Sus scrofa: one gene and its partners. The protein of the gene in region 1 purifies or fractionates together with the protein of each later gene. This does not show direct contact. Links are inferred from orthologs where the notes say so. Each region holds a gene or a part of one and is shown in the gene's direction. Other genes may lie near its edges.

Evidence for each region.
Region 2: the proteins of SLC39A12 (region 1) and ABHD12 purify together in Homo sapiens (co-immunoprecipitation; 3 studies listed by BioGRID and IntAct, counting the BioPlex papers as one, with this or other methods). This does not show direct contact. The link is inferred for Sus scrofa from reciprocal best matches to the Homo sapiens genes SLC39A12 and ABHD12.
Region 3: the proteins of SLC39A12 (region 1) and NAT14 purify together in Homo sapiens (co-immunoprecipitation; 3 studies listed by BioGRID and IntAct, counting the BioPlex papers as one, with this or other methods). This does not show direct contact. The link is inferred for Sus scrofa from reciprocal best matches to the Homo sapiens genes SLC39A12 and NAT14.

Annotation. Positions count from the first base shown.
Region 1 is NC_010452.4:44,271,637-44,278,671, forward strand, and holds part of SLC39A12 (zinc transporter ZIP12), read left to right. Parts: intron 1-432; coding exon 433-605; intron 606-5,447; coding exon 5,448-5,619; intron 5,620-7,035. UniProt on the Homo sapiens protein: Uniporter that promotes Zn(2+) import from the extracellular space to the cytoplasm across the cell membrane. The transport activity is temperature dependent. May play a role in neurulation and neurite extension.
Region 2 is NC_010459.5:31,052,315-31,059,791, reverse strand, and holds the start of ABHD12 (monoacylglycerol lipase ABHD12), read left to right. Parts: upstream 1-3,484; 5' UTR 3,485-3,641; coding exon 3,642-3,832; intron 3,833-7,477.
Region 3 is NC_010448.4:59,635,390-59,642,994, forward strand, and holds NAT14 (N-acetyltransferase 14), read left to right. Parts: upstream 1-2,784; 5' UTR 2,785-2,900; intron 2,901-3,166; exon of another isoform or gene 3,167-3,244; intron 3,245-3,633; 5' UTR 3,634-3,677; coding exon 3,678-3,749; intron 3,750-4,527; coding exon 4,528-5,076; 3' UTR 5,077-5,678; downstream 5,679-7,605. Other genes in the region: soluble scavenger receptor cysteine-rich domain-containing protein SSC5D, read left to right, coding at 6,258-6,681, 7,135-7,161, 7,443-7,605. UniProt on the Homo sapiens protein: Probable acetyltransferase. May act as a transcription factor that regulates the expression of coproporphyrinogen oxidase by binding to a promoter regulatory element.

The DNA of each region.
Region 1 (7,035 bases):
CTAAAAATGCATTGTGCCTCATGGGAATATTTTTCTAAGAATTAGTTCAATTTCATCTTTTATTTACATTTTTTATAGGGAGCACCTAAGAAAGAATTAGTTGAGTTACCAAAAGTCACTCCATTGATGGAATTGCCCATTTCATCATAGTTCAGCCCTAAAGTTTAGCCAAGATCTTATGAGGTGATCACTATCCATGTGAGGTATAAGTGCTCTTTATTCTTTTTTAAAATGATTTTTATTTTTTCCATTATCATTGGTTTACATTGTTCTGCCAATTTCTTTATTCTTGTTTAGAATAAAATCTTGGTTTTTCATAAGAATTTAGAAATTTGCTTAGTAAAATATCTGTGCTGTGGCCATGTGAAATTGTGATTATTCTGAAACTGGCCTGTCTTTATTCTGACACCAGATTTTGTATGAAATTTCTAGAGCTAGACCAACTCCTCAACACTCTCTGGACCAGAAGTGCCTGTATCAGAAAAGATAAAATCCATCAACTTCAAAGGAAACAAAACAACCAAACAATCCATGATTGGGACTACCCTAATCTATCTATATCCGTGGACCACGAGTCAGACGATGGTCCACTTTCCTGGGATCAGGTATTGTCACTATTCCTCTTTTATCATCATTTGCTACTGTCAAGGGAAGTAGCTGTGAAAATTCTATCAGAATTGTAGTAAATTTAAAGGATAATGTATATTTCCTTAAATGTAAAAATAATCTATTTCCACAGTGTGGTCAGGGTTTTTTTTTTTTTTTTTTTTTTCTCTTTTACAAGTGGATCTCTGCAGACATAGACTTGAGGCCAAGATATTTATAAGAATGATCCATATATTGCTCTTTCCTCCATTGGGTCCATACTGGATGCATGAATAATTAATTCAGCAAACATATGAGAGCATTTACTGTGTGCTAGTCATCATTGTGTGCTAGTAATGGAGTTCTGAACAAAAACAGGCTCAGTTCCTAGGAGACAATGGGGTAGTGATATTATAGAAACATATTATATAAATAATAATATAAAAACTTACAATGAATGAACACTTAAGAGTTAGATTACAAAGAGATTACTTTGTGCTGTGAACAAAAGACAAATATATGTATAGTAGGCAGCACTGAGGTTTTTGAGAAGAGGTGATAGCTCAACCTATAAATATATTCATATCCTTATTTCCTAAAGTTGTATATTCACTAGTCTAACAAATAATTCTTGAAAAGGGGTTCTGTGGTCAAATCTGTTGGATGGATAAGTTAAATACTAGAGATGCATATGGCACTGTAGCCTATCAAAGTGTCTGGGGAGGTCTTTCAGTAAATAAAATCCCTTAATCTTATTGAATCTGTTATTTTTCAGACTCTGATCATAGAAACCTTCCCTGCTCTAATTATGTGAAATATTAAACAATGATGCAAACTATTCCATTTAGAATGGATAAGCAATGAGGTCCTACTGTACGGTACAGGGAAGCTGTATATATATATATATATATGTATGACTGGGTCACTTTGCTGTACAGCAGAAGTTGGCACAACATAGACAATCAAGTATATTTTCATAAAAAATGAAATCTTAAAAGACGGATATTCCGTGATAATGGCTTCCATTTATTGAGTACTTATTATGCATTAGGCACTGCACAATTTTCCTGCATTTTTTCATTCAATTATTACAACAACTATATGAGGTTAGGTTATATTAGTCCATCCTCCAGATGAAGAAACTGAGGTGGAGTTGATAAGTAGTTGCTTAAGTAAAGGGAAACTGAGGATATATATGTAGGTTGTCCAGTAGCTTATGCTGGGCTCTTTACAGTGATGTTATTGTCAGAGAAATGTTGCTTTAAAGAAATGTTACAGGAGTTCCTATTGTGGCTCAGTGGGTTAAGGACCCAATGTAGTGTCTATGAGGATGTGAGTTTGATCCCTGACTTCACTCAATCCATTAAGGATCCAGCATTGCCACAAGCTGCAATGTAGGTCACAGATGTAGCTCAGATCCCTACAGTATTGCTGTAGCTGTGGCATAGGCTGAAGCTGCAGCTCTGATTTGACCCCTAGCCTGGGAACTTCCATATGCTGCAGGTAAGGCTGTAAAAAAAAAAAAAAAAAAAGAAAAAGAAATGATACTTTTTAAATTTATATCTTGGATGAGTTAGTGTTCCAATTAAGTGCAGTCTGTATTTTTTTTCCTTCCATACTCCTAACAATAATGAATGTTGCTCCTCTAAATTATAAATACGTGATTGGGTGATCTTACATATCTTTGCTCTTATATTTTAAAAAAGTAAATTTCTGTTAATGAGGCCTTACAAAAAAGGCATCAGTTAAAGCTGATTCTTTCAAAGTCACACTTAGTGTATTCAACTGCAGGTAACAAGAGTGGCTGCCAACATTAATCCTTGAAATCTCCTTCAATGTTCTTTCAGGGCCTGTTCTTAGGAAGGGAACACATTTGTCTGATGGAGACCCTATTTGCCTAAAGAATGAAGGTTATTAAATGTAGGGGTTATCTACCTAAGGCAATTATCTTCTGAGAATAGTAATGAGCATTTTCTGTGCTGACCATGCAAAAGAAACACAACAGCCTCTTTCTCCACTCTTCTCTCTTCTAACATGCCACTCTTTGGTGACTCTCGAGGAGTCCCTAAGGTGGGGACTGGATGTGAAGATCCTGCATGTATTATTTAGACCAGTAATTCTTGCAGTGTTGTCCCTGGACCATCAGCATTAATAGCACCTGGGACCTTGTTGGAAACAGAAATTCTCAGGTCCTTGCCAGAATCCACCACATCAGAAACCCTGATTGTGGAGCCTAGCACTCTGTCTTTTAACAAGTTCTCCAAGTGGTTCTCAAAACTAGAGTTCTGGAAGCAACACTTTAAACATAAAGTTTCCACAGACATCTGTTCAAATCAACATAAGCATACAAGGATATTGAAATTTTATAAAAAGTAAATTATATGGATGAATATAAAGCTACTTTAAAGGTTATGGGCTGGGGCAATTGACATTTTCATTCTATTTTCTTCCTTATCAAAAACATTTTATCTTCTAGAATTTTGTAGAATATAATGAATCACCGTTAAGGACATTTGGATTAGTGATTTCAGAGGAATGTCATACAACCATGAGCTAAATAGCACAGGACTAGCAAGTAAATATCAAGGGCATAGAAGCTTATAATAGAAGAGCCCGGAGTTCCCATCGTGGTGCAGTGGTTAACGAATCCGACTAGGAACCATGAGGTTGCGGGTTCGATCCCTGCCCTTGCTCACTGGGTTAACGATCCGGCGTTGCCGTGAGCTGTGGTGTAGGTTGCAGACGCGGCTCGGATCCCGCGTTGCTGTGGCTCTGGCGTAGGCCAGTGGCTACAGCTCCGATTCGACCCCTAGCCTGGGAACCTCCACATGCCGCGGGAGCGGCCCAAAGAAAATAGCAAAAAGACAAAAAAAAAAAAAAAAAAAAAGAAGAGCCCTACTCTACCAGAAGTTAGTGTGAGGCTGGAAACTGTTCAATTCCTCGACCGTGAACTGGGGAAAGACACACGGCCTTCTGTTCATGTTTATTTCAGCACCCTTTTATTTCCCAGTCAGGCATTTTTCAATAAGCATATTTATTATGAAGGATTCTTCATCAGAGGTTTGTTATAAGTTTTCCCTTAGTGTTGCTAGTATTCTTAAATGACGAAATCATTATGTTCCATGATTAGTAAATGGTGCAAAAGAGAATATTGTCTTTGGTGTAAATAATTTTGATAAAGGGGGAAAAAAAAATCACAAGGTTAGCTTTCCACTCTTGCTTCTTGCTGTAGAAGCCTTTGGAGTTTTGGTCCGATCCCTTTCTGAGAAATGCCTTCCTCACCCATAGGGCTGAGTTCAGCAGCGGTGTTTGAATAGCATGATCTGACCTTCTATCTTTGGGGTCAAACCGATGGAATCGCATAGGCAGCTGGCCCAAGAAAGCCCATCCTTGGCTTTGCCGAACCCATCAGATCTGTCAGGACTTGTAGACTCAATCCCAATCTGGGACTGAAAGGTCACTTTAGAGTTGGGGCCATGCATGTATACAAATGGCCATGTATTAATGAAAGAGAGAAGGCCAGAATCTTAAAGGATATTTACAGAGGGAAAGAGAAAGGAGAAAATACTGAGCCTGGAAGAGACAGAGAAAGAAAACGCTTCGGTCCTATCTTCCAGCTTCCAGTTGAGCTTCCCTTCACATGTGGCTACCCCTTTTAATCTTAGATCTCTTCTATAACCTTAATACATTGTCCTTATGGTGTCTGATGATTCGAGGGGCTTCTGTTTCATGCAACCAAATATTTCCCAGTCAAGATAAAAATTTTTTAACTCTTGGAATCGTCCCAAAGGATATTTGTGTGGGGAAAACCAGGAAATGTGTCATCATTGTTTTCTGATTAGCTGTGTGCCTTTGTTTAAAATCCCTCCTTTCTACAGCATGACAAATCAGATGATCCTTATACATCACTGATTGTTTAAAAAACCTTATTGTAAAGATCACAGTGATCTTGCATTGGGGTCTTATTTCGATAAATACATCCAATTGCGCTGGCAAAACTATACACTATTCTCATCTACATATTAAAACTTTTAGATGTAAGGTTTTTTTCCTTTTATGGCAACACCTATAGCATATGGCAGTTCCCAGGCTAAGGGTCCAATCTGAGCTACAGCTGAGGCCTAAGCCACAGCCACAACAACACCAGATCTGAGCCACATCTGGAACCTACCCTGAAGTTTGCTGCAACACCAGATACTTAACCTGCTGCAAGAGGCCAGGGATTGAACTTGCATCCTCGTGGAGACTGCCTTGAGTCCTTAAGTCACTGAGCCATAATGGGAACACAATGCATCTGCGACCTACACTGCAGCTTGCGGCAAGGACAGATCCTTAACCCACTGAGTGAGGCCAGGGATCGAACCTGCATCCTCACAGGCATGGTATCAGGTTCTTAACCCACTGAGCCACAACAGGAACGCCTAAATCAGAGAGTATTAAAGCTATGATCTCATTACCGCAGAGCTCCTGTTTATCATATGAAGTTTTAGCTTTGTTAACACAAAGCCATCCCCACTGAAAACCACCAAGAGCGTCATGGCTTCCTTAGGCTGCTGGTTAGAATACCAGCCAACACATTGCAAGACATGGTGCAACTTTTCAGGAAAGAAAAACCTAAGCAAAACTCCTACTACCTAATACTCAAAATGAAAGTGGGATATAGTTAACTTTAATCAGAGGTGAAAAAATAATCCTCAGGAATGAGTTAGTGACTAAAGGTTGCAGAGAAACACATGTAGTAATAATAACATCACATGTGGACTTAAGCCATTCGGTTTTGTTCTGACTCCTCAAGGATGTAGGTGGAGGGTGAATTTGGTTCAGTGCTGAAGGTGGTAAAGATGGATGTTTTTTCTGTACAGACTTGCTTCTCTGCCAGGCAGTTGGTGGAGATATTTCTACAGAACCGGCTTTCACCCATTTCTAAAGAAGACTTTAAGCAAATGAGTCCAGGAATCATCCAGCAATTGCTCAGCTGCTCTTGCCAGCTGCCCCAGGATCAAGCAGCAGAGCTGTCACCCACCACTCTGGAGAGTAAGTTCTGGTTCTTCACTCTGGAAGCCAATGCATACAATGTATATAATAATAATGGTGACTGAAGGATACTTAGGATATACCAAGCCCAAGCACTGTTCTAAGTATTTGACACTGATCAACTCATTTAGTCCTCACAACAAGGCTACCAGCTAGAAATTATTATTAACTTCACTTTAGAGATAAGGAAACGGAGGCCCAGAGAGGTTAAGTGACTTGCCCAAGGACACACAGCTGCTAAATGATGGAGTTGGGATGCAAACCCAGGCAAGCTGGCCCCACAGTCCTTGTTTTCAACCACCTATGTTCTAGCACTTTCAACAAATATTTTATAGTTTGGATCTAATTTATCTAAATTGATTTTATTCCCTATATTCAACTCAATCATGGCCAACTGAAAAGTCCATCGTTGAGAAGGGACATGGTATAAGGGGAAGGATGCCCATGTTGTGATGCTCTTAAACAATCTCTTTACTTCTCAAGCCTGTCTCTTTCTCTGCATGTTGGGAAAGAAGGGATTCTACAGGGCTTCCTATCCTTTTATACATCGTGGCACTTATTAAAAAATGAAGGTGGAGTTCCTACTGTAGCATAGTGGGTTAAGAAGTTGACTGCAGCACTCACATCGCTACAGAGGTGTGGGTTTGATTGCCAGCCCAGTGCTGTGGGTCAAAGGATCTGGCATAGCTGCAGCTGTGATATAGGTTGCAGCTGCAGCTCAGATTCAATTCCTGGCCTGGGAACTTCCATATGCTCTGGGTGCAGCCATTAAAAAAGAAAGGAAGGAAGGAAGGAGGGAAGGGAAGGGAAGAAAGAAAAATGAAGGCACGTTGGAGTAATCCAAAGAGGCTGCTCTGGGATGGAGGTGACCAAAGCAGGAGGTGCCAGCTTCGCAGTTGTGGCTGGCAGCCCCAGGAAATGAAGGGATCAGTAATCCACTCACCTGTAATCCATAGCATCACTGCAGTAGGTGAGCTCTATGCTAAGACTTCACCAGTAAAGTTCCAATGGGATAATATATACAAAAACGTGTCTTGTAAATTTAAAGCACCTGATATTGAAAAGACAAAAAAAAAATAATAATAATGGCCTGAGAACATCTATGATGGGTAGTAAAAATATGACAGTTACCATTTTTAAAATATCATCACTGACCTGAGGGCCTTACCTATATTTTTTTTTAGAACTGCTTTTCTTTCTCTTTGAGATAGTCTTCAGTGCCCATGATAGCAGAATTGTTCAGCTCCTTAATTCTAAACCATAATGAATTCTTCAGCAACAAGTAGTGCCTTTGAAGATTGTAACAAAAGCATGCCAACAAAAGATTTGAAGATGAACAAAAACACGCTAGGCTTATATCTAAGACTCCACATTCACTGAGAAGAAGAAAACTTCATTAAAAGCGAGCAGCTAGGA
Region 2 (7,477 bases), on another chromosome or scaffold:
GAACCTGCCTATTCATGGATCTGCGTGGGATTCCTTACCGCTGGGCTACAATAGGAACTCCCAGGGAAAACAACTTTTATTGGGTGTCTCCTGAGAGCTGGGGACTATAACATACTTCATGTAATTCTCACCATTATCCCTAAAGTGGTTATTAAGACTCTTGGTACTGATTAAGAAACAAAAGTTAGATAACTTGCCCAAGGTCACACAGTTGGCAAAGTGATAGACCCTGTTTTTAAACCTTCACCTTCAGAGTACCACCTTTGATATTAAAGCAGTCAATTTAAAAACGTGTAAAACAGCCCAACTCACTGTCTGTGGGAAGGGGGTTTACTCTGGATTAACATGAATAGCCATATTCTCACCTAGATGATTATGGAAATTTTCATAACTATATAGAATCAAAGGTGGGAATTACTGTTGTAGAAACAATTCGTTTTATTTGGCTCTTTTTTTAAAGCACTGTTACTTAGGAGTTCCCATCGTGGTGCAGTGCAAACAAATCCAACTAGGAGCCAGTGGGTTAAGGATCTGGTGTTGCCATGAGATGTGGTGTAGAAGACACAGCTCGAATCTGGCATTGCTGTGGCTGTGGCATAGGCCAGCGGCTACAGCTCTGATTAGACCCCTAGCCTGGGAACCTCCATATGCGGCAGGTGCAGTCCTAAAAAGACAAAACACAGGAGTTCCCGTCGTGGCGCAGTGGTTAACGAATCCGACTAGGAACCATGAGGTTGCAGGTTCGGTCCCTGCCCTTGCTCATTGGGTTAACGATCCAGCGTGGCCGTGAGCTGTGGTGTAGGTTGCAGACACAGCTCGGATCCCGCGTTGCTGTGGCTCTGGCATAGGCTGGTGGCTACAGCTCCAATTGGACCTGGGAACCTCCATATGCCGCGGGAGTGGCCCAAGAAATAGCAAAAAGACCAAAAAAAAAAAAAAAAAAAGAGAGAGAGAGAGACAAAACACAAATACATAAATAAAGCACTGTTACACGGATTCATTCTATTTGACCCTATAAACTGTGTTCCTTTTCTGCAAATATATAGTAGATGTGTGATCTGAGAAATGTGCCTGGGAATGGTCTACAAAGCCTCTGAATTTTATCCTTACCTCGAGTAACATTTCCATCTCAGCTCTACAGTAAGGGGTAATTTAGCTAAATGTTTTTATTTATTTATTTATTGGTTGTGCCCTTGGAATGTAGAAATTACCAGGCCAGAGACCAAACCTACACCAGAGCAGTGACTCAAGACTCCACAGTGACAATTCCAGATCCTAAACCTGCTGTGCCACAAGGGAACTCTGGTAAGTGTTTTTATTTTATTTTACTTTATTTTTTTTTGTCTTTTTGCCTTTTCTAGGGTCACTCCTGCGGCATATGGAGATTCCCAGGCTAGGGGTCCAGTTGGAACTAGATCTGCCAGCCTACGCCCCAGCCACAGCAACATGGGATCTGAACCGAGTCTTCGACCCACACCACAGCTCACAGCAATGCCGCATCCTTAACCCACTGAGCAAGGCCAGGGATTGAACCTGCAACCTCATGATTCCTAGTCGGATTTGTTAACCACTGCGCCACAACAGGAATTCCTATTTTATTATTTTATTTTTATTTTTTGTCTTTTTAGGACTGCACCTGTGGCATATGGAGGTTCCCAGGATAGGGGTCTAATTGGAGCTACAGCTGCTGGCCTATACCACAGCCATAGAAACACCAGATCGTTAACCCACTGAGCGAGGCCAGGGATTGAACCCGAAACCTCATGGTTCCTAGTTGGATTCATTTCCACTGTGCCACGACGGGAACTCCAAGTGTTTTTATCAAATACACAATTCTATAGTGGACTGTGTCATGGGATTTTATCCAAGGATCAACAGTATCCACAGACTTCCTTTGCAATGAACCTTTGCAATTTCAGAGAATTACTTTTCTACCTGTACAGTGGGGGCAATAGTACCCACTTCTGAGGGGTTGTAATGATTCATTATTCTCTTAGCCAGTACTTATGAAGTGCATATTTGGCATTGTTCTAGATACTGAAGATAAAGGAGCAAAGTCCTTGGTGTCAGGGTCTAAATTCTAGTATGGGAAACAGCAATGGACCGATACAGATATACTGAGGACAAATATATTGGTGAAAAGTGCTAAGAAGAGAGTAAGAATGGTGAGTAGTGACAGTGAGAGAGCCTGAAGCTTTTGAATTGATGTTCAGAGAAGGCAGGGACCTCAAGTGGAAGGGAGTAAGCCATGTGGATGTGATGGCTCACATGTCACTCACACCCTGCAGGCCTCTGTATCAGCAAGTAGGCAGTGATGCTGGGGCAGGGTGAGAGGCTGATGGCTGAGAACAGAGTAAGGGATGGAGGCCGTGTCAGGTAGCACCTGTTGGCCCATTTCATAAGCTTTCAGTTTTATTTTCAGTGAGGTGGGGAGCCACTGAAGTGTTTGAGAAAGCAAGTGGCAGAACTGGATCAAGGTTTTTTTGCCTGTTTGTTTGTTTTTAGGGTCACACCTGAGGCATATGGAAGTTCCCAGGCTAGGGGTTGAATGGTAGTGACAGCTGCTGGCCTATACCACAGCTCATGGCAACACTGGATCCTTAACCCACTGAGAGAGGCCAGGAATTGAACCTGCATCCTTATGGTTACTAGTCAGGTTCATTGCCGCTGAGCCACAAGAGGAACTCCAGATCTGGGTGTTTTAAAAAGACCTACGTATTTAAAAAAGGCCACTCTATTCACTAGACAGAGTGAGGCAGGAGACAATTTAGGTTATTAAAATATTCCAGGAGTTCCTGTCGTGGCTCAGCAGAAACGAATCTGACTAGCATTCATGAGGATGGACAGAGGTTTGATCCCTGGCCTTGCTCAGTGGGTTAAGGATCCCGCATTGCCGTGAGCTGTGGTGTAGGACGCAGATGTGGCTCCATTGCTGTGTCCCTGGCATAGGCTGGCGGCTACAGCTCCATGGGCCCCTGGCCTGGGAGCCTCCATATGCCCTGAGTGCGGCCCTAAAAAGAGAAAAACACACACACAAAAAACCACCACAAAGTACAAAACAAAACTATCTGAACACATTTTTAAAAGTCAAGTCCTTGCAGGAAAAGTTATAAATCATTAGGACAGAATTGTGATGTCACCTTTTTCTTTTTGTTGTGTAAATACCCCCTTTAAGGGGTTTCCACTGTTGTATGGAGTCAGAGAGCCTGGGATGGGAGCGGAGGGTCCCCCGCTTTGGGCAGTGCGGTGGGCTACAGGCAGGCGATGATCAGACCTAGCCGGACCCCTGACCCGCGCCGCTCAGCTGGTCGGCCCCGCCCAGACGGTGACGAGTAATGCGGCTTCAATTGCCCACCTCTAAGATGGCTGCAGCCTGCTCCGGGGGATGCTGGGAGAGCCAAGCGCCCGGGAGGGGGCAGGTCTGGGGGGCGGGTCCAGGGCTGGAGTGGGGGCGGGGAAGGCGGCCTCCCGGCGCTGATTGGCCGGCTCTGAGTGGCTGTAGGCGGGCGCGCTGGCCGGCCTGGACGTGAGGGCGGTGGGCTAGCGGCAGCAGTGGCGGCGGCGGCGGCATCCCTCAGCGGCTGCTCCCCTCCGCGGCTGGCGGCGAGGGCGAGGGCGAGGCCGGCCGTGCTGGCCACGGGATGAGGAAGAGGGCCGAGCCTGTCGCTCTGGAGCATGAGCGCCGCGCCGTCTCGGGCTCGCCCTCCGCCGGCTCGGCCGCCTCGGCGCTGGACGCCGACTGCCGCCTGAAGCAGAACCTGTGCCTAGCGGGCCCCGGGCCGGCTGAGCCGCGCTGCGCCTCCGACGCGGGCATGAAGCGAGCGCTGGGCAGGTGAGGAGCGGCGGGGGCGGAGCGGGAACCATGGCACTCCGGGACTGCTTGCCCTCCATCCCGCGTGTCCCCCGACCCTCTCAGGGAGTCCCTCTTCGCCAGGTGCCTCCCTCGTGGTCCCTTCTGGCCCCGCGCCCCTTCCTCCCCAGGTGGACCTGGGGGACCCCGCCGGCGACTGGTCGACTAGCGCGTGTCGACGAGGGTGGGGAGGCCTTGAACGCCCGGCGCCGACCCGGCGGGGCGGGGCGCTCGGACCGAGTGTCCCTCTCGCCAGGTGGGCTGTTCACTGGGTGCTCGAATCTCTTTGCGGCGTCCTCTCCTGATAAACTGCCGTGTCCTCGGGGAAGGTCGAGGGGTTGGCTGTGTGCTGGGTGAGGAGGTGCACCGCGTCCTGGGGGAAGGTCGAGGTGTCGGCTGTGTGCAGGGGCAGGGGATGCCGCGTCCTTGGGGATGGTCGTCCTTGTGTTGGGGCAGGGGGTGCACCGCATCCTTGGCTGCCGGGGGCAAGCCAGTCCTTCGCGAGAAGCTGGCATGTGGTGCGTGGAATGTGTTCACAGGAGTCATCTCCTTGGGAATCTTCGTCCCGTCCGGAAGTCACCTGGTTATTTTCGGCCTCCCTTTAGGGAGATGAATGTGTTTATGTTAAACTAATCTCAGTTGAGATGGGAACGTGTTTCACGCTTGCAAATTTCTTCCCTTGGGCTAATTTCTTAATTATCTGGCTGTTTGTAGAACAGATCACTTAGGGCAATTTTGAAGTCTTAATGTTTCATGGTGTTTGAAAAAGTTAGCATGAGGCTCAGGTGTTGTAGCGGAGCCACTTCTTCTGAGGTCAACTGGAATGCCCTTAATTGACAGTGGCCACTTTTGTGTAAAATATCCAAATAGCCCCTAAAAATATCAGTTTCACTGCACATACTCTAATATACAAAAGTCAGATCATGAAATTAAGCTATATACTTCTCTAAGTCAGTGGTTCCCAGTCCTGCTCAGGACTGACAGTATTTTTGTTTTTGTTGAAATGATTTAGCAGTGGTCACTGTCTTTTGTGAAACTAATCTCTTTTGTGGGAAGTTTTTCTGTATTAAAAACTCGTGATTGGCCTTACTGAACTTTTATTAACAGGCTTGGCATAACACTTAGGTTGGGAACTCTTCCTTTGAAGAAATCAAATTGTGATCTCGATAATGTTTGGGGAAACAGTGCCTGCCTGGCACTTTCCTTGAAAGATGTACTGTATTAAAAGGATCTGATTATTTTTATTTTTGAGTTGAGGACAAAGAGAAGCATTCAGGTAGTGCTGTATCCTTTTGATAATAAAAGGCTGTCATGGGAATAAAAAGAAAAGCAGAGGGTGGGAAGACCAAATTTGTGCATTACCCCTGGCTTCCTTCCCTTTTGCCTGAAATGCTCTTCTGGACATTTTCCTGCTATATTTTCTCCTTCAGCCAGGTCTCCACTCAACTGTCACCCCTTCAGAGGGGCCTTCCCAGACTAGCACATCCAAAATAGGCTTGGTGCCACCTTCAACCCCCGTTGTCTGTTTACTTATTTCTTCCTCACACTTATCCTTACCTGACAATATGCTTGCCTGCACATTTGATTTGCTTTATGGGTAGTCTCCCTCACAAGAACGAAAGTCCTGAGAGAGCAGGGACGTTGCCCTCTTGGCTTCTGGCTCCAGTACTTGGCACATAGTAGGTGGGAAGACATACTTGTTGAATGAATATCTAGAATGAATTCCTAGACATGGAATTGCTGGGCCAAGGGGTGTATGTTTACGACTTTGAAAGGGAAGGCCAGGAATTTCTGTTGTGGCTCAGCAATTAAGAACCCAGCCGGTATCCTTGAGGGTATGGGTTTGATCCCTGGATTCACTCAGTAGGTTAAGGATCTGGTATTGCTGTGAGCTGTGGCTTAGTTCGCAGATGCGGCTTGGATCTGGTGTAGCTGTGGCTGTGGTATAGGCCAGCAGCTATAGCTTTGATTTGATCCCTAGCCTGGAAACTCCATGTGCCACAGGTGTGGCCCTAAAAAGGGGAAAGGAAAAAAAAGAAAGAAAAAAAGAAAACAAAAAATGGGGAGGCCAAAGTGCCCTCTCAAGAAGTTGTACTGGGGAGTTCCCGTCGTGGCTCAGTGGTAATGAATCCGACTAGGAACCATGAGGTTGTGGGTTCGATCCCTGGCCTTGCCCCAGTGGATTAAGGATCCATTGTTGCTGTGAGCTGTGGTGTAGGTTGCAGACATGGCTCGGATCCAGCATTGCTGTGGCTGTGGTGTAGGCCGGCGGCTACAGCTCTGACTTGACCCCTAGCCAGGGAACCTCCATATGCCGAGGGTTCAGCCCTAAATAGACCAAAAAAAACCAGGTGTTTTTATCTTTCTTTTCTTGATTGATGAAAACACATATAACTTGTAGCTTTAATTTGCATTTCTTAATGGTTAAGTGGCAATTTTTGTGTGTTTTTATAAACACCTGTAAAATTTTCGTAATTATTTACTTCTTTCATGACCTCCTTTGTTTGGGTCCTCCTGCACATTCTTATAACTTTCTATTCTGCACATGCTCTAATATACAAAAGTAAAGAAGATGATATAATGAATCTCTGTGTATCCATCACTTTCTTTCAGTGGTTTTCTATGTTTTTCTAATCTTGAATCATCTCTTCCTCCTCTTCTCCATTTTTGGTATGGTGGGAAACTATTTCAAAACAACTTATTTCATCCATAATATTTCACAATATGTCTTGAACAAACGATTTTTTTGAAATATGTATATATATATAGCCCCAGTGCTGTTATTATATTGTCAAAATTAAAATTAATAATTTATTATTTGTAATCAGTTTAATATGTAATATCCAATCTACATACACATTTCCCTGTCTCAGAAATGTCTTCTTTCCATTAGTTTGTTTCAAAATCCTATACATTTCTTAAGTTTATTCCTAGTCATTTTATCTTTTTTGTTATTGAAAATAGGATTTTTTTGATATTACATATTGATACTAGTTATATTTATTAATCTTGTAACTAACAATTTACATAATCTTAGTTTCAAGTAGTTTTTGCAGTTAATTCTCTTGGATTTTCCAGGCATACTATCATGTCAGCTGCAAGTAATAAGACTCTTGGGGGTTCCTGTCGTGGTGCAGTGGAAACGAATCTGACTGGGAACCATGAGGTTGTGGGTTTGATTCCTGGTCTCCCCAGCTGGTTAAGGATCTGGTGTTGCCATGAGATGTGGTGTAGGTTACAGACACTGCTTGGATCTGATGTTGCTGTGGCTGTGGTATAGGCCTGCACTGTAGCTCCGACTGGACCCCTGGACTGGACTGGGCCTGTAGCTGTAGCTGGGAACCTCTATATGACATGGGTGCAGCCCTAAAAAGCAAAAAAAAAAAAAAGTTTTGTCTCGTTTTCTCCTTTTTTGTCTCTTGTTTCTTTCCCTTTTTTGATTACATTGTATTTCCAGATCAAGCGATGGTATTGGGTACCCTTGTCTTGTTCCTGACTTTAATGACAATTCTTTTAGTGTTTTTGCCACATTATTTTACGAAAGAATGTGTTGCTGCTATTTTGTCTTTTATTATTATTTATTTATTTATTTAGGGCTGCACCGACGGGATGTGGAAGTTCTTAGGC
Region 3 (7,605 bases), on another chromosome or scaffold:
GGCTTTGGCAGCGAGGAGCTGCTCCTGGAGCACCAGCCCTGCCCCGGGCCGGAGGCGCCGCCCCCACCGCCGCCCCAGGACGCGCCCACAGAGGCTCCCAAGGCCGCCCCGCCGCCGCCGCCGCCGCCGCCGCCGCCCTCCCCCCTGCCGCAGCCCCCTGCCGCCGCCGCCGCCGCCCCCGGCTTCGCCTGCCTACCCTGCGGGAAGTCGTTCCGGACGGTGGCTGGCCTCTCCCGCCACCAGCACAGCCACGGGGCTGCGGGTGGGCAGGCCTTCCGCTGCGGCAGCTGTGACGGCGCCTTCCCGCAGCTGGCCAGCCTCCTGGCGCACCAGCAGTGCCACGTGGAAGAGGCCGCGGCCGGGCGCCCGCCCCCGCAGGCCGAGGCTGCTGAGGTTACCTGTCCCCAGGAACCCCTGGCCCCTGCCGCCGCCCCGCCGGCCCCCACGCCCGCCCCCGCTTCTGTGGAGCGGCCGTACAAGTGCGCCGAGTGCGGGAAAGCCTTCAAGGGCTCGTCGGGACTGCGCTACCACCTGCGGGATCACACAGGCGAGCGGCCCTACCAGTGCGGCGAGTGTGGCAAGGCTTTCAAGCGCTCGTCGCTGCTGGCCATCCACCAGCGCGTGCACACGGGCCTGCGGGCCTTCACCTGCAGCCAGTGCGGACTCACCTTCAAGTGGTCTTCGCACTACCAGTACCACCTGCGGCTGCACTCAGGCGAGCGGCCCTATGCCTGCGGGGAGTGTGGCAAAGCCTTCCGCAACACGTCGTGCCTGCGGCGCCACCGGCACGTGCACACGGGCGAGCGGCCCCACGCCTGTGGTGTCTGCGGCAAGAGCTTCGCCCAGACCTCCAACCTGCGGCAGCACCAGCGCGTGCACACGGGCGAGCGGCCGTTCCGCTGCCCGCTCTGCCCCAAGACCTTCACGCACTCCTCCAACCTGCTGCTGCACCAGCGTACGCACTCTGCTGAACGGCCCTTCGCCTGCCCCATCTGCGGCCGCAGCTTTGTCATGGCCGCCTACTTGCAGCGGCACCTGAGGACGCATGCCCCGGCCAACACCGCTTCTGGCTCTGCAGTCCCCCCTGCCGGCCCCCAGCCCCCTGCCCCACTGGCTGCCGCTCCAGCCCCTTCTGCTACCCAAGATGTCCACGTCCTCCCCCACCTCCAAGCCACACTCTCCCTAGAGGTGGCAGGGGGTACGGCCCAGGCCCCACCGCTGGGCCCAGCAGCCCCCAATTCCCAGACGTTTCTCCTGGTGCAGACCGCACAGGGCCTCCAGCTGATTCCCAGCAGCGTCCAGCCCCCCACACCCCCGCCCCCACCTGCACCCCCCAAACTCATCCTGCTTCCCTCTGGTACTGGTGGTGGGGGCAGCCGTGCAAGGCAGGGCCCAGGGACAGTGGGGAAGGCTGGTCAGGGGGCTGGGGTCGTTTGGCTGCCAGGCCCTGGGGGACTGGGGGTTCAGGGAGGGAGCAACACCACAGCCAGCACAGGTGGGCAGAGCCTTATAGTTCTGCAGAATGTGGGGGGTGGGGAGACAGGGCCACAGGAAGTGAGTGGGGTCCAGCTCCAGCCCCTTCGGCCAGCGCCGGAACTGACCACAGTCCAGCTCCAGCCGGCCCAGGAGGTGGCCACGGTCCAGCTCCAGCCGGCCCAGGAGGTGACCACGGTCCAGCTCCAGCCGGCCCAGGAGGTGACCACGGTCCAGCTCCAGCCTGTGGCAGGTCAGCTGTCCAGTTCCAGTGGGGGAGCCGTGGCCACCGAGGCCCCTAACTTGCTGGTGGTTCAAGGTGGGGCAGCTGAGGAATTGCTGGCAGCACCTGGCTCTGGGGAGCCTGGTGATGGTGAGGCCAGCACAGGTGTGGTCCAGGATGTGCTCCTGGAGACGCTGCAGACGGATGAGGGGTTGCAGAGTGTGCTAGTGCTGAGCGGGGCTGACGGGGAGCAGACGCAGCTGTGCGTGCAGGAGGTAGAGACCCTACCCCCAGGGCTGGCAGAGCCTCCAGCCCCTGGCCCACCGGGACAGAAACTGCTCATCATCCGCAGTGCTGCAGCCACCGACCTGCTGGAGAACAGTAGCGTGGGGGGAGGTACCGCTGCACTGCAGCTGCTGACCCCACCACCGGGCCCAGCCTCTACTCCAGCGGGCATCCCTGGGGCTCCTGCTTCCCAGATGGTCCAAGTGGTCCCTGCTGGAGCTGCACCTGGGGGTATGACCCCACAGGGCCTACCCTCCATCCAGATTGTCCAGACTCTGCCCGCAGTCCAGCTGGTGCACACGTTTTGAGTAGAACCACTGGTACCTCTTCCCGCCCCACACAGAGACCCTGACTCACTGTCCGCATTGGCTGGGCTGAGCTGAACTGTGGGCAGGGGAGCTGCAGGCTGGGCTTGCTAATAAAGACCAGAATCGTCTTTCTTGTGCTTTTGTTTTATTGGTGGTCTGGGAGGTCCTTGTTATGGCCGTAGCCACCATCTGGGAACTTGGAGTCTCACTTGTGTTTTGGTTCTCAGGTGGCTTGCTTTGCGTCTTGGGGCCAGACGCTTCTCCTATGTGGGGCTCTGTTTATCCCTAAAAAGAAGAGATGCAGGGATCATTATAGGGGGATGCGTTGGAAATCCTTGCTCCGGCACTTGTTCGCCGTAAGTCACCCCCCCACACGGAAAAATGGATGAGTGGGTGGGAATGCGCATCACGAAAGTCACCGAGCCCGGGTGGGTTAGGGTTGGCCAGTGTGAGAGCGAGAGGGCTCAGGATGCTGACGTGGCCCCTCCCGCGAAGGCTCCGGAACCAATGAGCATTGATCCGCTCTCTTCGCCGTCCCGCCCCCCTGCGCTCCGGTTGCTGAGCAACCAGGCGACCTCGGGAGGCCAGCGTGTGTTTCCTTCGCGCGTCGGGTAAGTACCGCTCCCCGCCCCCACCCTGCCGGGTCCACAGTTCCCATCCCCCCCATCCCACCCCCTCCCCAACCCCTATCGGCTCTGGTCCTTCTACAGCCCTCCTTTCCCCATTTCCCTTTCTCCCCGCCGCAGGGTCGCTGCTCCTGCCCTAGTCTCTTCCCAGCCCACGCCCTCCTTCCTCATCCCCCCTCCAGAAGCTTGACCGTGGTTGCTAAGGCTGAGGGCAGGCGCTGCCTACCCCCACAACAGTGCGCGAGTATTACGTCACTTCCGCCGGCTACTCCTTCCAGACCCTGCTTCCCCCCCACACACACTTGTCAAAAGCAAAGTGACCCGCAGAGGTGTTTGCAAGTTCTTGTGCCTGCGACAGACCCCTTTCGGGGGCGATTGGGGGGTGGGGAGCTCGGTCCATTCCCTGGCTGTAGGGGGAGTTTCGTTCACCCGTCGGGCAGCCACGGAACTTGGGAGGGAGCCTGGCCTTGCCAAGTGCTGGCGTACACGGGGCCTTCAGGCGTAGATCGCTGAACGCCCCTGGGGGCCGAGAGGCCTCCCGGGAGACTTTAAAGTGGTGGTCGGGTTGAGAGGGAACCCTGTTCTGTCTCGGACCTCGCTTGGGGCCGCGACTGTCCTCCTTGTTCTCATCCGGGAGATGCTGCTGCGGGTCCGCAGCTCTGGGGCGCTCTGGGGAGCAGAGGTGCCCTCCTGACGCTGACCTGCTCATTTTCGCCAGGTGCGCGCCTGCTCCCTTGGGGGCGCAGGAGCTTGGGGGCTGCCATGGCACCCAGCCATCTATCAGTGCGGGAGATGAGGGAAGATGAGAAACCCCTAGTGCTGGAGATGCTGAAGGTGAGAATGGGCAGGGCCGCCAGGGGGCCTGGGGCGTTGGGTGGCGGGGCGCCAAGGAGCCAGAGAGGGTGGAGGGCAGTGAGGGAGGGCTGGACACCCGCGTGCTCTGGAGGAGACGGGGACAGAATGAGGGGGCACCGGAACCCTGCCTGGGAAGGGGCGGGGGTGAGTGGCTGCAGCCGCGCTGAGCCAGCCCTGATCCCTGGAGAGCTATTTTTTCCTCCTGAGGGACTTCCTGGCTTGGCCCCTTCCCTTTTTAGTACCTTCTGTGTGCCCTGGGGGTCCAGAAGAGTTTTAACGGTTCCAGGGCTGTGCAGCCCACCACGCACCCACTCCTTCCCTATTTTCCCCACTTCCCAGGCTGCCCTGCCCCCAGCCTCCTCGCCCACACTCTTCAAAGTAGAGCCCTCGGGCCTCAGCCTAGCCCTCGAGTGCCCCCAGGTTCCCCCTCCAGCTTCCTCTCCTGTTGTCCAGGGTTGTGATCCTGCTCTGGCTTGGGGCAGTTCCTCCATCTAGCCTTCTCTGGTGCCTCGGGCCTGTGTCTCCACTGAATTAGGACCCCCCACACACACACACACCCGCCGCCGCCAAGCTCCTGAGTCACCTGCTTGCTCATTAAACCCCTGTGCGGCAGATGTGCCCGCAAGCCCCTCTGCCACAGGCCCCAGCTCAGTGCCATCCCTTTGCCTCAGATCCCTCCCCAGCAGGGTCCGCCCCCCCTCCCAGTCCCTGCTCCCCACGGGAGCCCCACCGCTCTGACTGCTCCTCCTGCCCGCAGGCTGGTGTGAAGGACACAGAGAACCGAGTGGCCCTCCACGCCCTCACGCGGCCTCCAGCCCTGCTCCTCCTGGCGGCTGCCAGCAGCGGCCTGCGCTTCGTCCTGGCCTCCTTTGCTCTGGCCCTGCTCCTGCCTGTGTTCCTGGCTGTGGCGGCCATGAAGCTGGGTCTGCGGGCCCGGTGGGGCTCGCTGCCCCCACCGGGTGGCCTAGGGGGACCCTGGGTGGCCGTGCGGGGCTCGGGGGATGTGTGCGGGGTCCTGGCTCTGGCCCCAGGCTCTAGCGCTGGGGATGGGGCCCGGGTCACCCGCCTCTCTGTCTCTCGCTGGCACCGCCGCCAAGGTGTGGGCAGGCGGTTACTGGCCTTTGCCGAATCTCGGGCTCGAGCCTGGGCAGGTGGCATGGGGGAGCCCCGGGCCCGGCTCGTGGTCCCGGTGGCCGTGGCCGCGTGGGGTGTGGCAGGGATGCTGGAGGGCTGCGGCTACCAGGCCGAGGGGAGCTGGGGCTGCATGGGCTACACGCTGGTGAGGGAATTCAGCAAGGACCTGTGACTCCAGACCCCAGAGGGAGGAAGCCAGTGCTTAGAGAGCAGCTGCTGTGCACAGGCGACTTGACACCCTCCCTTTGCCCACTCAGGGCCTAAAAACTGAGGCCGCCAGAAGGCAAGAGACCTCACCGCAGTCTGACGTCTGCCTGTCATGTTTGAACTTGTCAGAGAGGTCACGCTGTCCAGCCCCTGCTTCGGGTTCTCTCTGCACGGGGAGACCTCCCCGTCTGGCTGCCACGCCTGTGCCACCTGTGCCACGGGCCTGGGGAGATGTGCGGCGGGAAGAGGGAGGCTAAGCGAGTACGCCCCCCCCAGGGTTAGGACGTGGCGGGGGCACCCCTCATGGGACAAGGCCCCTGGGGAACTGGATGGGGTTGATGCCTGTGCTTGGAGGGGGTGGGGCTGCAGAAGCAGCAGAGATGGGGTGAGCAGAGCCTTGGCAGAGGAGGGCTGTCTGTCTGGAGAGAGCTCCAGGGGAGGGGGGCAGTGGGCCCAGGGCTGCCCGGCCAGGCCAGCCCTTCCCTGGGAAGGTGAGAGCCGAGCGGGGCAGCCAGACCCATCTAGTTTTTTACACTCGTTTGTTAATAAAACCTGAAACTGCTGTGAGCCCATCTCCCTCTCTCTCTCTGATGCCTTTTCCAGTCCGTCTCTGAACCCCCGCTTCTGGCTGGCTCCTCCTTTCCCAGGGTTGACATTAGCTGTCGGTGGGGGTGCTGGACTGGCAGCGGGGGATGCAGTGAGCTCACGGCGGCGGCCCTGCTCCCTGCCAGCCCTCTGACTCACGCTCCCCATTACTGCATTTTTTCCGCCTCACAGCTGCTTGGTGCAGAGAGAGAGTGTGGGGCTGCCCTCCCCCACTCAGGCCTGACCCTCGATTGGCCCAACCCCTGGCCTCAGTTTCCTCAGGAGACACACAAGCTCGACCACTGCTCCCCTCCCTCAGATGCGGGCTGGGGACTTTGTGTGCACATCCCCCAGGGGAGTGGAGAGAGGGGTTTCTTAGTCTCCTGTCTCAATCAAGAAAGTCCTTCCTGGAGTCTGGCTGCACATCTCTTGCTGCGCCCTGAGCCCCAGATGTGCCAGGTCCCTAACCGGGGCGGCTGAAGTGCATCTACCCTCAGAGCCCTCTTCCCTGGTCCCACCAGCCTTCCCTGGCTGAACAGAGAGGAGATTGAGCCCCGCCCCATGCTCGCACCCCCGTGTGCACCCCAGTTCGGATCCCTCCCCGCAGCCTGCCGACCCCTGAGCATCTCAGCCCAGCGTGCCTTCTCCTGGCCGGGCCGCCCTTCTCCCGCGTGGGTGTCTGCAGTTGGACACTCTCCCTCCCGCCTGCCAACGCCCTCCTCCCCAGGCCTCAGGCGCCGGCCAGCCCCCTCCCCGCCCCCACTCCTGTCCCCTGCTGCCTCCTCGGCAGCCTCTCTTCCTCCTGGCAGAGCGTCCAGCCCAGCCTGCTCCTCCCTGGGTCCAAGGCGCCTTCAGCAGGCAGGCGCGGCCCTCCCTCCCTTCCTCCCAGCGGTGGCCGCCACCTCCTCCCTCTCCGGCTCCAGTCCCCTCTCACCCCATCCCCGCCCCGACTCTGCAAACATGAGGGTCTTGGCCTGCCTCCTCGGTGAGTGACCCCTTCTCCTCGGGGATGCAGGGGCCTGAGCCCTGCCCTCTGACCCCTGAGCTCAGCCACTGGGAGGCCTCCAACTTCTGGGCCAGTCCCTGTTCCTCGGGGGATGTGGGGCTTCTGCCCTCCGGCCTGATCCCCCAGGGTCTCCGCCTCTGGCACACTCAGCCCCACCCTCTTAGGCCCACCCCAGGAACCTACCTGCCGCCCCCACACCAGCCCTGACCCTGTGGGGTGTCACCCATCCTTTAACCTTTAGCCAGGCCTCTGGGGAGCGCGAAGGGCTGGCCCCCTGCCTGGACCTGAGGCGTCTGGGGCCCCGCCCACCTCAGGGACCTGAACCTTGCCAGGCCCTCGGCTCAGAGCCCTGCTTCCTAGCTAGCGGGGTTTCTGGGTCAGAGGTGTGAGGCCCTCACTCTGTCCCTCCCACCCCTCCAACCTCCCTTCCAGCGGCTCTGATGGGGATCCAGGCTGTTGGTAAGTGGCCCCAAACACGTCTTCCCTCTGGCCTTGCTCAGCTCCATCCCATGCCCAGCCTTGCCCTCTGCTGGACCCACTTCCCTCAGGACCACCTGGGCGTCCAGCCCCGTGCTTCCTACGAGGCTGGGGCACCACTGCTCTCCCAGACACCCAGGATTCGGCATCAGCAGCCAGGGGGAGCTGGCTCCCAGTCACGCTCTGGCATTCCACCCCCAGCCCCTCCCCTCCCCTTGGCCCCAGGGTCTCCAGGATGTCACAGCCTTTCCTCTGTCCCCCAGAGCGGCTGCGTCTGGCTGATGGCCCCCATGGGTGCGCTGGCCGCCTGGAGGTGTGGCACGGCGGGCGCTGGGGCACTGTGTGTGACGACGGGTGGGACCTTCGGGACGCCGCCGTGGCCTGCCGGGAGCTGGGCTGCGGGGGTGCGCTGGCCGCCCCTGGAGG